3 linked regions of the Oryctolagus cuniculus genome follow. The protein of the gene in region 3 interacts with the protein of the main gene of each other region in a pairwise test. Links are inferred from orthologs where the notes say so. Each region holds a gene or a part of one and is shown on either strand. Other genes may lie near its edges.

Region 1 (4,371 bases), on a different chromosome or scaffold from region 3:
ACCCACATGGGAGACCAGGAGGAAGCACCTGGCTCCTGGCTTCGGATCAGCACAGCACTGGCCGTAGCAGCCATTTGGGGAGTGAACCAATGGAAGGAAGACCTTTCTCTCTGTCTCTCTCTGTGTCTATAACTCTACCTGTCAAATAAATTAAAAAAAAAAAAAGCTTCCAACAGGGCTCCTGAGGCAGCTCCCTCCAGAAGGCCGGGACCACAGAACTGGCACAGGGCGGTAAGCGACCACTTGCAACAACGGCATCCCACATCAAAGCACTGGTTTGAGTCCTTAAGTTCTGCTTCCAACTCAGCTCCCTGCTAATGCGCCTGGAAAGGCAACAGAAGTCGTCCACGAGCGTGCAGCCCCTGCCACTCGTGAGGGAGACCTGGATGGAGCTCCTGGCTCCTGGCTTCTGCCTGGCCAACCTCTGAGTGCTGTGGCCACTATGGAGGTGAAGCAGCAGGTGTTCGGTGCCCCTCCCTCCCTTCCTCCCTCCCTGTCACGCTGCCTGTCAAATAAATAGAGAGTAGCGCTCTGGAGCAGCCTAGGGAAATTAAGAGGTGCACAAGACCCCTAGCAGACAGTCAAACAGAAACAGCAGGTCTGTCTCTGCTCCCTCTTCCTCGTACCCACTCCTCTTTGATGTGCTCCCACTCATGGTAGACAGAAGTGGCAGAATGAAACCGGTACAACTGTGGAAAACACACAGGAGACAACAAGGACATTTGCAGACGACACCTTCACAGACGGCCGAGCCAGCCCCTCAACCGCCTGCCCTCTGAAAAGGCTTTCTGTACCCGCTCCATCAGAATAAACCCACACCCCACGGCACCAGGCCTATTTCTAGTACTTCTTCCTCGAGCTCTGAACTACGCGTGGTCAGTCTGTCTCCTCTAGGAGTTTAAATTCCTAAGCAATGTCAAGTTTAAGTTAGGGGTGGGAGAAGGCTGGCCACCATGTCCATTGCTGCGAGCACCGAGCTCTGGTTCAAGTCCTGGCTGCTCCACTTTCAATCCAGCTCCCTGCTAATGCATCTGGGAGGCAGTGGAAGATGGCCCGAGTTCGTGGGCCCCTGCCACCCATGTGAGAGACCCAGATTTAGTTTTGGGCTCCTGGCTTCGGCCTGGCCCAGCCCTAGCTGTACTGCAGACATTAGGGGAGTGAATCAGTGGATGGAAGATCTGTCTCTGCCTCTCTCTCTGTAACTCTGCCTTGCTCATAGATAAACATATTTTTTAAAGACAAAGTTTAGGTCAGATCTCTCTTCATTTTTCTCTGCCCCATCCCCAGGTCTTATTACTTACGCAATGTGGGTACCAATAATTGCTCATGTAAAAATGAACAAGTTACTGAGTCAGGGTTTGTAACAGGCCATGGAATCTGTTTCAGTGAAGAAAGGCCACGAGAAAGCGAGTCTGAGAACAAGGTGGCAACAGTCCCCTACCTGCCTCTCCGCCCCGGCTCCTGCCCGTCACCGGACACGTCCTGCTCCCAGAGGGTCACTTGGCGTCTGTGGGTGTCCAGCCGCCTCTGTGACACATCCTGACGGGCCTGGGGCTGGACGAGGGGAATGTCTGAAGCCCAGGTGGGAGCCATCCTTGGCACGGTTGAAAGGGGCCGGGCTTGGAAGTGGGAGGGGGGGATCAAGCCAGAGACACCTGCGGAACCACAAGAGCACAGTCAGCTTCCCAGGCAGCGGGGGCGACCGCCAGCCCCTCGCCTGCGCCGCCCCACTGACCTGAGGGCTGAAACATCTCCATGTGACTTGAAGACGCTAGGTGCTGCCTCCAGCCTTCTATGCTCCCCTGGACAAGAGGAGAAACAAGGACACTCCAGTTCAATTTTCAGGTCACCTTCCAAAGAGAAAGCCCCTACAATAACAAAGTCACAATGCTAAATTACAGCCAGCTCCCCTGTCTCTCAGCTCCTCTTCCCACTCTTGTGGAAGAAGTATGAGACCCCACCCCACTGCCTGCTTGTCCTAATGCAAAACTCAGGCAGGGGGCCTGCGCTGTGGCCTAACGGGTAAAGCCACCACCTGCAGTGCCGGCATCCCTTACGAGCACAGGTTCGAGTCCTAGGTACTCCACTTCCAATCCAGCTCTCTGCTATGGCCTGGGAAAGCAGCAGAAGATGGCCCAGGTCATTGGGTCCCTGCACCCGCCTGGGAGACCTGGAGGAAGCTCCTCACTCCTGGCTTTGGATCGGCGCAGCTCCGGCCATTGTGGCCAATTGGGGAGTGGACCAGTGGATGGAAGACCTCTCTCTCTCTCTCTCTCTCTCTGCTTCTCCTCTGTGTACTCTTTCAAATAAATAAATCTTTAAAAAACAAAAACAAAACAAACAAACAAACAAAACTCAGGCAGAAACCAGGAGGGAGGCGGAGAAAACTCAAGGAGGTGGACGAGCCAAGGGGGAGCTTTTGGGCTTTGATCATCCTGCTAGGACTCAGGCAGTGTCTTTACCCTTCTCCTGAGGTTTCTACTGTCCCTGCTGCTCCTGGCCTGAGAGGACGAAGGAGGCACACCGTGCAGAGGCCCCGAGCCCAGCCTCCAGAGTTCTCGCCACGGCTCGGCAAGGCCTTGGGGAAGCCCACCCAGACACCACCAGGCCATGACTCCCGGGTCCTTTCCCAGCAGAGCGCTGGCCCAAGGCCTGGCCCCTGATGAATGTGGCCACATGTAGGGCTGGACACCTCCCCAGGACCGCCTGGGAGTCCAGATGGCCTAGATGCCCCCGCACAAGAGCCAGATCTTTCTTGCAACTACCCTCTTGCCCATGCCCTCGGCGTCCATCCCTGCGGACCTGCTCTCTCTAGGGTCCTAGAGCACAGTGGGCCCTTCAAGATCTTTCTCACACACTCCCACCCGAATTCACCCCCACCTGGGATTCCCTTCCTGCATTCTAGTCTGCTTTTTTCCTGAAGGAATTATTCTGGTCCATCACCCTCACCCTCATCTCCCAGCTAACAAGCAGCCTGCTCGCGTCTCCCAGCACCCTAGTCTGATTTCTGCTCTCTCTCCTCCGTGCCCTGATATCCTCAACCTTCACCCTGCACACCCTGCAGGACCCTGAATTCTAAGGCCGTCCTGACCACCTCATCCGCTCCTTTACCCAGCCCCTGTACCCTTCTTCCCCTGTGACCCCCTGCACCCCCCAGCACCCCGTCTCAGCCCCTTCCCGCCCCCAACCGACTCTTCCCGAACGCCCCTTACTCAGCGCGAGAACGCCCCCTCCGCCCCTTGGTCACACCCACCACACCTCGCTCCCCGCCCGGCCTCCGCCCTTGACTACGCCTGCGCCAGGCGGGCGGCGTGGCGGGCCGCTCTGAAACTCCGTTTTGTCCAGGAAGGAAAAGGAGCAAAGGTGCACGCAGGCGCAGTGGCGCCTAAAGCTGGGCCCAATTACTGCGTCTAAGCAACTGCGCGCCTTGGCCGCTCCGCCCCACTCCGGGGACCCGGGAAAACCTCTGAGCTAATCAGAAAAAGCGGAAGGCGGGAGCTCGCGGGACCCGCCCAGCGCGCCGCCCAATGGAGCGGAAGAGGGTCACAGAACTAGCCAATCAGGCGCGGTCCTGGGGGCGGGCTCTCTGGGCGCGAAGTTCGGACCCGGGAATTCCGAAGGAGGGGTCTGCGCTGCCCGCGCGCCGAGACCGCGCCCCTCCCGGCCCCGGCTTCCTGGCTGTCAAACTGCAGTGCGAGCGCTTAGCCCAGCTGAGGAGGCCGAGAGGACCTGCGGCCGCCGCTCGGGCTGGCGTCGCCTGGAGAGGAGCCCGCTCCAAGACTGCGCCGCGCAGGTAGGTCCGAAACGGAGCTGGGGCCGGGAGGGCGAGCGCTCGCGAGTTCGCCAGGAGCTCCTTCTTCTGATTTACCCCACCCGAAGGAAGCCGGGAAGCGAGGTTTAGATCCGCTTTGTTGGGAGTACCTAGGGACCTGTTTGCACTGCTCTTTGCGTGTATGTGTGTGTGTGTTGGGGGGTGACAGTGAATTCACTCCCCCCGCCCCGGGGTTCAAGCTAGTTCTGAATGAGGGATTGGCCAAAAAGAGCGAGGGCGCGGGCGAACGGGGAGGGGGGTGTTGTTTTGGATAAGCAGGTCTGACAGGAAGAAGCTTGTCTTCAAATTGCACCGGGGCAGCCCGTTCGTGTAGCAGCACCCACACACGCCTCCGATTTGCATTTCCCCAGAAGCTGCCTAACGTGACCTTTGCCTTGCGCAGGTCGGAGGCTCCCGGGATGTCTGGCGGCCCGAGGATCCAGCTCCACTGAGTGGCGGGAGGACGCGTTCCAGTTTGCCCCTTGCACCCTGTCCTCCCTGTTTTTTTTTTTCCCTTGCACATCTGCTTCGCAGCCAGTTTTGCATCGCCTGCCTCAGCT
Region 2 (4,371 bases), on a different chromosome or scaffold from region 3:
GCCATCTTCTACTGCTTTCCCAGGCCATAGCAAAGAGCTGGATCGGAAGTGGAATAGCCAGGTCTCTAATTGGTGCCCATATGGGATGCTGGCACTGCAGGCGGCAGCTTTACCCACTGTACCACAGCGCCTGCCCCTGATCTGCTTCTGATGTAGCTCTCTGCTTATGTACCTGGGGAAAGCAGCAGAAAATGGCTCAAATACTTGGGCCCTTGCCACCTATGTAGGAGACCAATATAAGCCTGAGGTCCTGGTTTCAGCCTGGCCCAGTCTGGGCCATTGCAGTCATTTCGGGAGTGAACAAGCAGATGGAAGATGCTTTTCTCTGTCTCTCTGCATTTCAAATAAATAAGTTGTTTTTTTTTTTTTTTTTTTTTTTTTTTGACAGGCAGAGTGGACAGTGAGAGAGAGACAGAAAGGAAGGTCTTCCTTTTTTTTTGCCGTTGGTTCACCCTCCAATGGCCGCCGCGGCAGGCGCGCTGTGGCCGGCGCACTGCACTGATCTGAAGGCAGGAGCCAGGTGCTTCTCCTGGTCTCCCATGGGGTGCAGGGGCCCAAGCACTTGGGCCATCCTCCACTGCACTCCCGGGCCATAGCAGAGAGCTGGCCTGGAAGAGGGGCAACCAGGACAGAATCCGGCGCCCCGACCGGGACTAGAACCCGGTGTGCCAGTGCCGCAAGGCAGAGGATTAGCCTGTTGAGCCACGGCGCCAGCCACCAATAAGTTTTTTTTTTAAATGCAAAAAAGAATATGTTTTTTACAACAAACAGAAAATCATACCTTTATTAGGTTTATATAATAAAGTTTCATTTTTTTAAAACATTCTTTTTTTCTTAAAAAGATTTTATTACTTATTTCAAATGCAGAGTGACAGAAGGGAGGGAGAGACAGATCTTCCATCCTCAGGTTCACTATCCAAATGTCCTTAACAGCCCGAGCTGGGTCTGGCTGAAGCCAGGAGCCAGGAACTCCATTCTGGTCTCCCAAGTGAGTGACAGGAACCCTAGCATTTCACACCATCATCTGCTGCAATACTGGCACCCCTTATCAGAGTACCAGTCTGAGTCCCAGCTGCCCAGCTTCGGATCCAGCTCCAGGCTAGTGTGCCTGGGAAAGCAGTGGAAGATGGCCAAATTATTTGGGCCTGTGACATCCATGTGGGAGACCCAGATGGCTCTGGCCGAGGCCACTGTGGTCACTAGTGGAGTGGATCAGCAGGTGGAAGATCTCCCTCCTCTTTAAATAAATCTTTAAGTCAATATAATGCAGGAACAATAGGAACTAACCTAGATTCAACAGACTAAAAGACATTAATAAATGCAACATCAAAATTATGGCACAGTGGGTTAAGCTGTTGCTTGCAACGCTGGCATCCCATTTGAACATGCATTCAAGTCCCAGCTGCTCCACTTCTGATCCAGCACCCTGCTAATGTGCCTGGGAAAGCAGAAGATGGCCAGAGTGCTTGGGTCCCTGCACCCACATGGGAGACCTGGACAGAGTTCCAGGCTCCTGGCCTCCACTGTGGTCACTGAGGGAGTGAACCAGCAGGTGAAGATCTATCTCTCTCTCTAACTCTGTTAACAAAACCTTGAATGGATTTTTTTTTAAAAAAAGATTTAATTACTTATTTCAACTGCAGAGTGACAGAAGGGAGGGAGAGACAGATCCTCCATCCTCAGGTTCCCTATCCAAATGTCCTCAACCGCACAAAAGCCAAATTTGGAACAATGTGGAGAATTCTGGCTTCTACTAAAAAGGGTTGATATTACGTGACAGTCTTTCACTTTCTTGATTGAAATAATAGTCCAATGTCTTTCACCTTTGAGTTGCATTAGCAAATACCTAACAACGGAGACATCACACCTGCAGCTAACGTGGAGGCATCATGTCTAATTTATTTTCAATGCACTCTCATATAATTTTAACCATAAAATATGTTTGCTTATCTGAAGAGAGAAAAAACATGGCACATGCTGAACACAGAGGAGTCTATTACAATGGGCATTCATTGTCCTAGGTAGATTTAAAATTTTTTGAAAGAAGGTGGGGAAAAAGATAGACTATCACTCTGTTAACAGTCAATTCGACTTGTTTCAAGCCTCGCGTTAGTGAGGCGGCCCCGGACCGTCAGCTCTGTGAGACGCCCGGGCCGAGGCACATCGAGCGTTCGACTTTCCCTTCCGCAGGACGAGCTGTCGCCCACGAGCGTGTAACCCTCCCATCGAGACACCTCTCTACCGGGCGTCTCCGAAAGCACCTTCATCCTCCTGCTTCAGCGTGACGTGCCGCCACGCCGACTACGAGCACGGGGAGGCCCGCTGCGAACCCACTCTCGCTCGGAGCTCACCGGAACGCGCCGGATCCCGGATCCCTCCTGGAGCGCGGGGCACGGGCGGTCCCCGGAGATTTCCCAAGGCCCGACCTCAGAGGACGGAAACGTCCCCAGGCCGCGCTGTCGCGACGCTTCCGGCCCGGGCCCGTCCGGGGCACCCACGCGCGGAGCGGCCGCTCGGGCCCCGCGGCCCCGGGAGGACTCGCGGCTCCGGAAGGCCCGGGCCTCCCTGAGGAAGCCACCCGCGTCCTTCGTCGCCTTCCTTCCACACTCAGGGCCTCCCCTTCACGCGAGCGACTCCAAGAAGGAACCAACCCGAGGAGGAACGAAAACGCAGCAGCTTTGGAGATTTCCCGAACCCGGGACGGGGGACGCGGCCGGATTGTGACGCCACTTCCGCCTCCGGGCTGCGGGGCGGGACTCCGCGGAGCTTCCGGTTGCCCTGGGCGCGGAGCGCTGGGGGTCCCTGAGGGGACTCGGCGCGGTTGAAGTGGACGGCGCCTGTCCCTGAACCCCGAAGGCTGTGGGTGGGGACTCGCCGCACGCTGGGTGCTTTCCTCCGCTCGCGTGCCCGGCGCCCTTGACAATGTCCCACGGCAAAGGGCAGGCCGAGCTATGAAATAAATGGCAGGTCACCTCCTCCCTGTCAGCCTTGTTTGTAGACCTCTATTTCACGTATCTCTCGGGATAGAACGCTAAATTCTAACCGTGGATTCCTGTGCGTTTTCAGGGTGTTGATATTTTTTGTAGCTCATAAACTTTTTTTTTAAACCCAACTATTTCTGGGCTTTGTGGGAATCTCCAGTGATCCAGGGCCTGCCATCCAATGTTGTAAAATGTCGCTGCCGGCTGGTGCTGTGGCCTATTGGGCGCCGGGTCGAGTCCCAGCTGCTCCACTTCCGGTCCAGCTCTCTGCTGTGGCCTGGGAAAGCAGTGGAAGATGGCCCAAGTCCTTGGGCTCCTTCACCAGCGTGGGAAACTTGGAAGAAGCTCCTGGCTCCTGGCTTCAGATCAGCATAGCTCCAGCCATTGCAGCCATCTGGGGAGTGAGCCAGGGGATGGAAGACCTCTCTACCTCTCTGTAGGGGTATTTTTTTTTTTCAAATAAATATATATTTTTTAAATACCACTGCTGGATGGCATTCTTTACTTAGGAATGATTAAAGAGTTTCTCTAGTAGTCATGTTTGTTGTAGTTTTCAGTGGCTGGTAATTGAGAAGTAAATTTTTATTTAAATTCTTAATAGCACATTTTATCAGGACCTAATAAGTACATTATAAACTTTCTTCTTAAAGTTGTATTTTACTTATTTGAAAAGCAAAGTTACAGAGAGGAGGGAGAGATAGAGAGATCTTACATTCTCTGGTTCACTCTCCAAATGGCCCCAATGGCTGGAGCTGGACTGAGCCAAAGCTAGGAGCTTCATCGGGGTCTCCCATGTGGATGGCAGGGGCCCAAGCATTTGGGCCATCCTCCGCTGCTTTCCCAGGTGCATTAGCAGGGAGCTGCATCGGAAGTGAAGCAGCCGGGACTCGATCTGGGGTCTGTAAGGGATACCAGCGTCACAGGCGTCAGTTTAACCCTGTATGCCACAGCGCTGGGCCCCATTATCAACTTTCTAATGCAGCTTTTTCTGTTTTCAACTTTTGGTGTACAATTTTTTTTTTTGTAGTCAAAAGAGTTTATGTTTTTTTTTCTTTTAAATTATTTACTGGGAGGGGGCAGAGTAGGTGGTGGGGAAGAGCCCCAATCTCATGGTTCACTCCTCAGATGTCCACAACTGCCAGAGCTAGCAAGGCAGCAGCTCAGAGCCAGGAACTTGGTCCAGGTCTCCTGTGTGTGGGCAAAACTCAACTACCTGAGCCATTACCTGCTACATACCAGGGTGCACACTTGCAGGAAACTGGGGTTGAGAGTGAAGCTGGATTTCATGGTGAGGGGCACCCCCTCCCAGGAGACCACAGCTGCTCATGGGTAATGATGCTGACAGGGTCTGGGATTTCAGAGTTGCTGCCTTTGCTGCCATAGCCTTTTG
Region 3 (4,271 bases):
TGTTAGAATGTCACATAAATGGAATCACATAGAGTGAAGGCTTTTCACATTTTCTTTGACCTACTTAATGCTTTCAAGGTTATTTCATGCCTTTTTTTTCGCTTCATAGTTGATTTCTTCTTATCACTTATACTTTCCATTGTATAAAAGTTATCAAAGTTTGTTTATTCATTCACCTACTATTGAAGGATATCTTGACTACTTTCAGGTTTTTGCAATTGTGATAAAGCTGCTAGAAATATGTGTGTCAAGATTTTTTATGTGAGCCAATTGTCATTTTAGTTCTAAAATTCCCATTTTGTTCTTTATAACTTTAATTTCTTGGCTGAGACTTTCTATTTTGCTCTTTTGTTTCAAGCATGCCCATAATTATTTATTAAGCATTTTTTTATGACTGTTTTAAAATCTTCAACAGATAAAACTTTTTTTTAAAGATTTATTTGTTTATTTGAAAGAGTTACATAGAGAGAGGAGAGGCAGAGAGAGAGAGGGAGGTCTTCCATCTGCTGTTTCACTCCCCAATTGGCTGCAATGGCCGGAGCTGCGCCAATCCGAAGCCAGGAGCCAAGAGCTTCTTCCAGGTCTCCCATGTGGGTGAAGGGCTATCTTCTACTGCTTCCCCAGGCCATAGCAGAGAGCTGGATCGGAGGTGGAGCAGCCAGGACTCGAACTGGCACCCCTACGGGATGCTGGCACTGCAGGTGGTGGCTTTACCCACTACTCCACAGTGCAGACCACCAGATAACTGTTAACATCTGTTTCATTTCTCATATTTGCCTGATTTGTCTTTTCTCATATTTCTTATTATTGGGATGAGTGAATTTTTAATTGAGACCTATTGAGACTGTAAGACTGTGATCTTTTACTTTAGCTGGCCTCTTTTAATATTCCTTTCACTAGAAAAGGAAGACACTGCCTCATCAGTGCTAGGAAAGGGTACAAGTACAGTTTCTCTACCCAACCTCAGCTGACACCTGAGGAGGGCCAGGCTCCTAGGTACTCCTAGACAGGGGTGGGAGATCAGGTTCCCTCTAGGCCTCTGTTGTTACCACCAGAGCTGGGAGGAACAAAGGCTCCTCCTTAGGGTTCCTCCTGTGTCTATCACTGACATCATGAGTATGCGGCTTTGCTACTGCTGAGAGATGGCCAGTGTCCTGACTCTGCACCAGGTCTCCTCTCACACCATCCCAAGGAGGAGGAGGCTACCTCTTCCTGCAGGATAGGGAAGGATGTCCTGCCTCCCCATGTGGTCTCCACTTGGCATCGCCTACTGAGGACTTCAGTACTCAGCCCACAAAGGGGAGAGGGAACAGGAAGGCTTGGGAACCTCTGTCAGACCCTGGCAAGGGTACAAGCGTAGGCACAAGCACAGGCTTTCCACTTGTCCTGTGCTGGCAGGAATGGGGCTGTAGTTTTTTCTATGGTCTTTGTGTGGACAGGGCAGTTATTAGACATTGTCTAAATGTCATCTGCCTTGCTAGACAGCCCATTTCCTGGTCCTTTGGCCAGATAAGAATGGTTTTTCTAAGGTCTGTTTTTTCTGCACTCATTGTCATTTCCATTTGCCAGTTTTTCCTGCACCCTGTCTGAGACATATAGGGAAAAAGAAAATCCAGGAACTCAGTAGCATGTGTCCTGATGTCCCTCTACTTTTAGAGCATTCTTTTGTTTATTTTATATATAAAGTTCAGAGTGAGTTTTTAGGTGTATTTAGCAAAAGAAAGAAGTCTACTCCATTCCAAAGTTGTAATCTCTTTCACAGGCTTTATTAACAGTTATACCACATTAGACATCCTGAGAACAGGAACAACACTGAACTTGGGAGTTTAGAGAACTAGGTCCAAATCTCAGCTAACCTGGGAGTTCAGACAGATCCTAGCTGTCACTCATTCGCTGAATATCACAATTACTTAACCTACTGGAACTTCAGCTTCATGTCTATAAATGGAAATACCATCACTGTTTCAAAAGGTTCCTGAAAGCATCTGATTCACAAGTTGGCACAAAGTTTGCATTCACTCACTCTGAACCTGTTTATCCAAAAGGTTAAGATAAAAATTGAATGGTTTAGATTTAAATGAGCTGTGAATTAATAATTATTTATTCTATATCTTGTTTTATTCTTAAACATCTTTATTAATTTTTATTTACTTGAAAGGCAGGGCAACAGAGACAGAGACAAAGAGACTTCTTCCACCCACCAGTTCACTTCTGAAATGCCCAGCCAGCGCTGGGCCAGGCAAAAGCCAGGAGTCTGGAACTCCATCCAGGTCTCCCACACAGGTGCCACCCAAGTATTTGAGCCATCATCTGCTGTTTCTCAGGGTGCACACTAACAAGAAGCTGGATTGGAAGTGGAGTGGGAACTCAAACTCAGGCATTCCAACATGAGATGTGGTACCCCATGTTGCCTTTTTTTTTTTTTTTTTAATTAATTTATTTTTTTCTTGACAGGCAGAGTGGATAGTGAGAGAGAGAGAGACAGAGAGAAAGGTCTTCCTTTTGCCGTTGGTTCACCCTCCAATGGCTGCCACGGCTGGTGTGCTGCGGCCAGCGCACTGCACTGATCCGAAGGCAGGAACCAGGTGCTTCCTCCTGGTCTCCCATGTGGATGCAGGGCCCAAGCACTTGGGCCATCCTCCACTGCCTTCCCTGGCCACAGCAGAGAGCTGGCCTGGAAGAGGGGCAACCAGGACAGAATCCGGCGCCCCGACCGGGACTAGAACCCGGTGTGCCGGCGCCGCTAGGTGGAGGATTAGCCTATTGAGCCGCGGCACCGGCCCCATGTTACTTCTTAACCTCTGCCAAATGCCCACCCTGTCCATCTTGTTTTAAAGTAGGCTCCAATTCAAATTCAGAAAAATACATATGTAAACTAAAGGTAAACCTGTAATTTTAGTGTAGAGATGAATCTGTCTTGGTTTCTCACTTCTTGTTCTAGCTGCAGAGTCTTCTGGTATTTTTCAGCTTCAGAAACTGGAGCCCCTAGACCAAAATCATGTTCTTTGGTGGTAACCTAGTGGAAAGAATGGACAACAATGCACAAGCATTCAGTTAAAAACAGCTCTATGATTTTTTTCAGATCAATAAATTTTTAAAATAACATTATTAAATATGTTGTTTAGAACCATTTCCCACCAGCTAGGAGGATTAAAATTTCGTTACAAAATTTTGTGTTTTCCAAATATCAAACTATGACATTGAACATGCTTTTCAAAGAAGATATGCCCTGCCCTAATTCCCTTGTAATCACTATTCGAAGTAAACCCAGGTTGGTGGTAAATTAAATAGTCAATTTCTAGGCTTCTGTTGTCTGGTATAGTAGACATCAGCTACACATTTGCAGTTGCTATTGTATACTTAACAAAGGTTTGCTACCCATATAGTAAACGCTGATTTCCAGGAAATGTAATTTGCATAAATAAAAAAAAAAGAAATGAAACACTATAATATTCTTAAACAACTCTGGTGGCAGTGTGAATGGATACAATATTTATGGAGAACAAGTGTATACAAAAAATCTACTAATGGGCTGGCGCAGTGGCATAGCAGGTAAAGCTGCCACCTGCAGTGCTGGTACGGGCGCCAGTTTGAATCCTGGTTGCTCCACCTCCGATCCAGATTCCTGTTAATGCATCTGGGAAAGCAGCAGCAGATGGCCCAAATGCTTGGGCCTCTGCCACCCATGTGGGAGACCCAAAGGAAGCTCCTGGCTCCTGACTTTGGACCGGCCCAGCTTTGGCTATTGAGGTTATTTGTGGAATGAACCAGCGGATGGAAGGTCACTATCTCTTTCTTCCACCCCCTCTCTCTAACTCTGCCTTTCAAATAAGTAAATAAATCTTTTTAAAAATCTATTAACATTACAAATGCACATATGGCCTCTGTCCAAATAATCCGACTTCTGGGAATTTATCCTACAGATACGTTTGCCAATGTGCAACATTACAAACGTGAAAGACGTTTTATTATACATAATACTCTGCGTTGTGCTTTTTACCTGACAGTGTATCCTGGTGATTTTGCATATTAGCAAAATAACTTCTTTCTCTCAATCAAAGTTGCCATTATGTTGAGAAAGTAAGAGTTTGTTACGAACTTCCTATATATTTCCAGTGAACACAGCTGTTTTCTCCAAGATCTCAGGGAATTACTGGATCAGGATCACGCAAACAACTAACCTAAACTTGTACTCTGTGCAACCCAGCACTTAACACAGGCTGGCAGATTTACTTCCCTTTTTTCCTTTGTCTAAACAAGACAAAAACCTG

What was found.
Region 1: the proteins of TSGA10 (region 3) and CCHCR1 interact in binary tests that used the Homo sapiens proteins (3 or more experiments, as listed by UniProt). The link is inferred for Oryctolagus cuniculus from reciprocal best matches to the Homo sapiens genes TSGA10 and CCHCR1.
Region 2: the proteins of TSGA10 (region 3) and zinc finger protein 426-like interact in binary tests that used the Homo sapiens proteins (3 or more experiments, as listed by UniProt). The two-hybrid records come from large-scale screens. The link is inferred for Oryctolagus cuniculus from reciprocal best matches to the Homo sapiens genes TSGA10 and ZNF426.

What each region holds. Positions count from the first base shown.
Region 1 is NC_091436.1:139,335,844-139,340,214, reverse strand, and holds the start of CCHCR1 (coiled-coil alpha-helical rod protein 1), read right to left. Parts: upstream 3,193-4,371; 5' UTR 2,679-3,192; coding exon 2,463-2,678; intron 1,803-2,462; coding exon 1,736-1,802; intron 1,656-1,735; coding exon 1,442-1,655; intron 1-1,441. UniProt on the Homo sapiens protein: May be a regulator of keratinocyte proliferation or differentiation.
Region 2 is NC_091447.1:67,469,242-67,473,612, forward strand, and holds the start of zinc finger protein 426-like, read right to left. Parts: upstream 2,867-4,371; 5' UTR 2,352-2,866; intron 1-2,351. UniProt on the Homo sapiens protein: May be involved in transcriptional regulation.
Region 3 is NC_091433.1:109,304,803-109,309,073, reverse strand, and holds part of TSGA10 (testis-specific gene 10 protein), read right to left. Parts: intron 3,017-4,271; coding exon 2,888-3,016; intron 1-2,887. UniProt on the Homo sapiens protein: Plays a role in spermatogenesis. When overexpressed, prevents nuclear localization of HIF1A.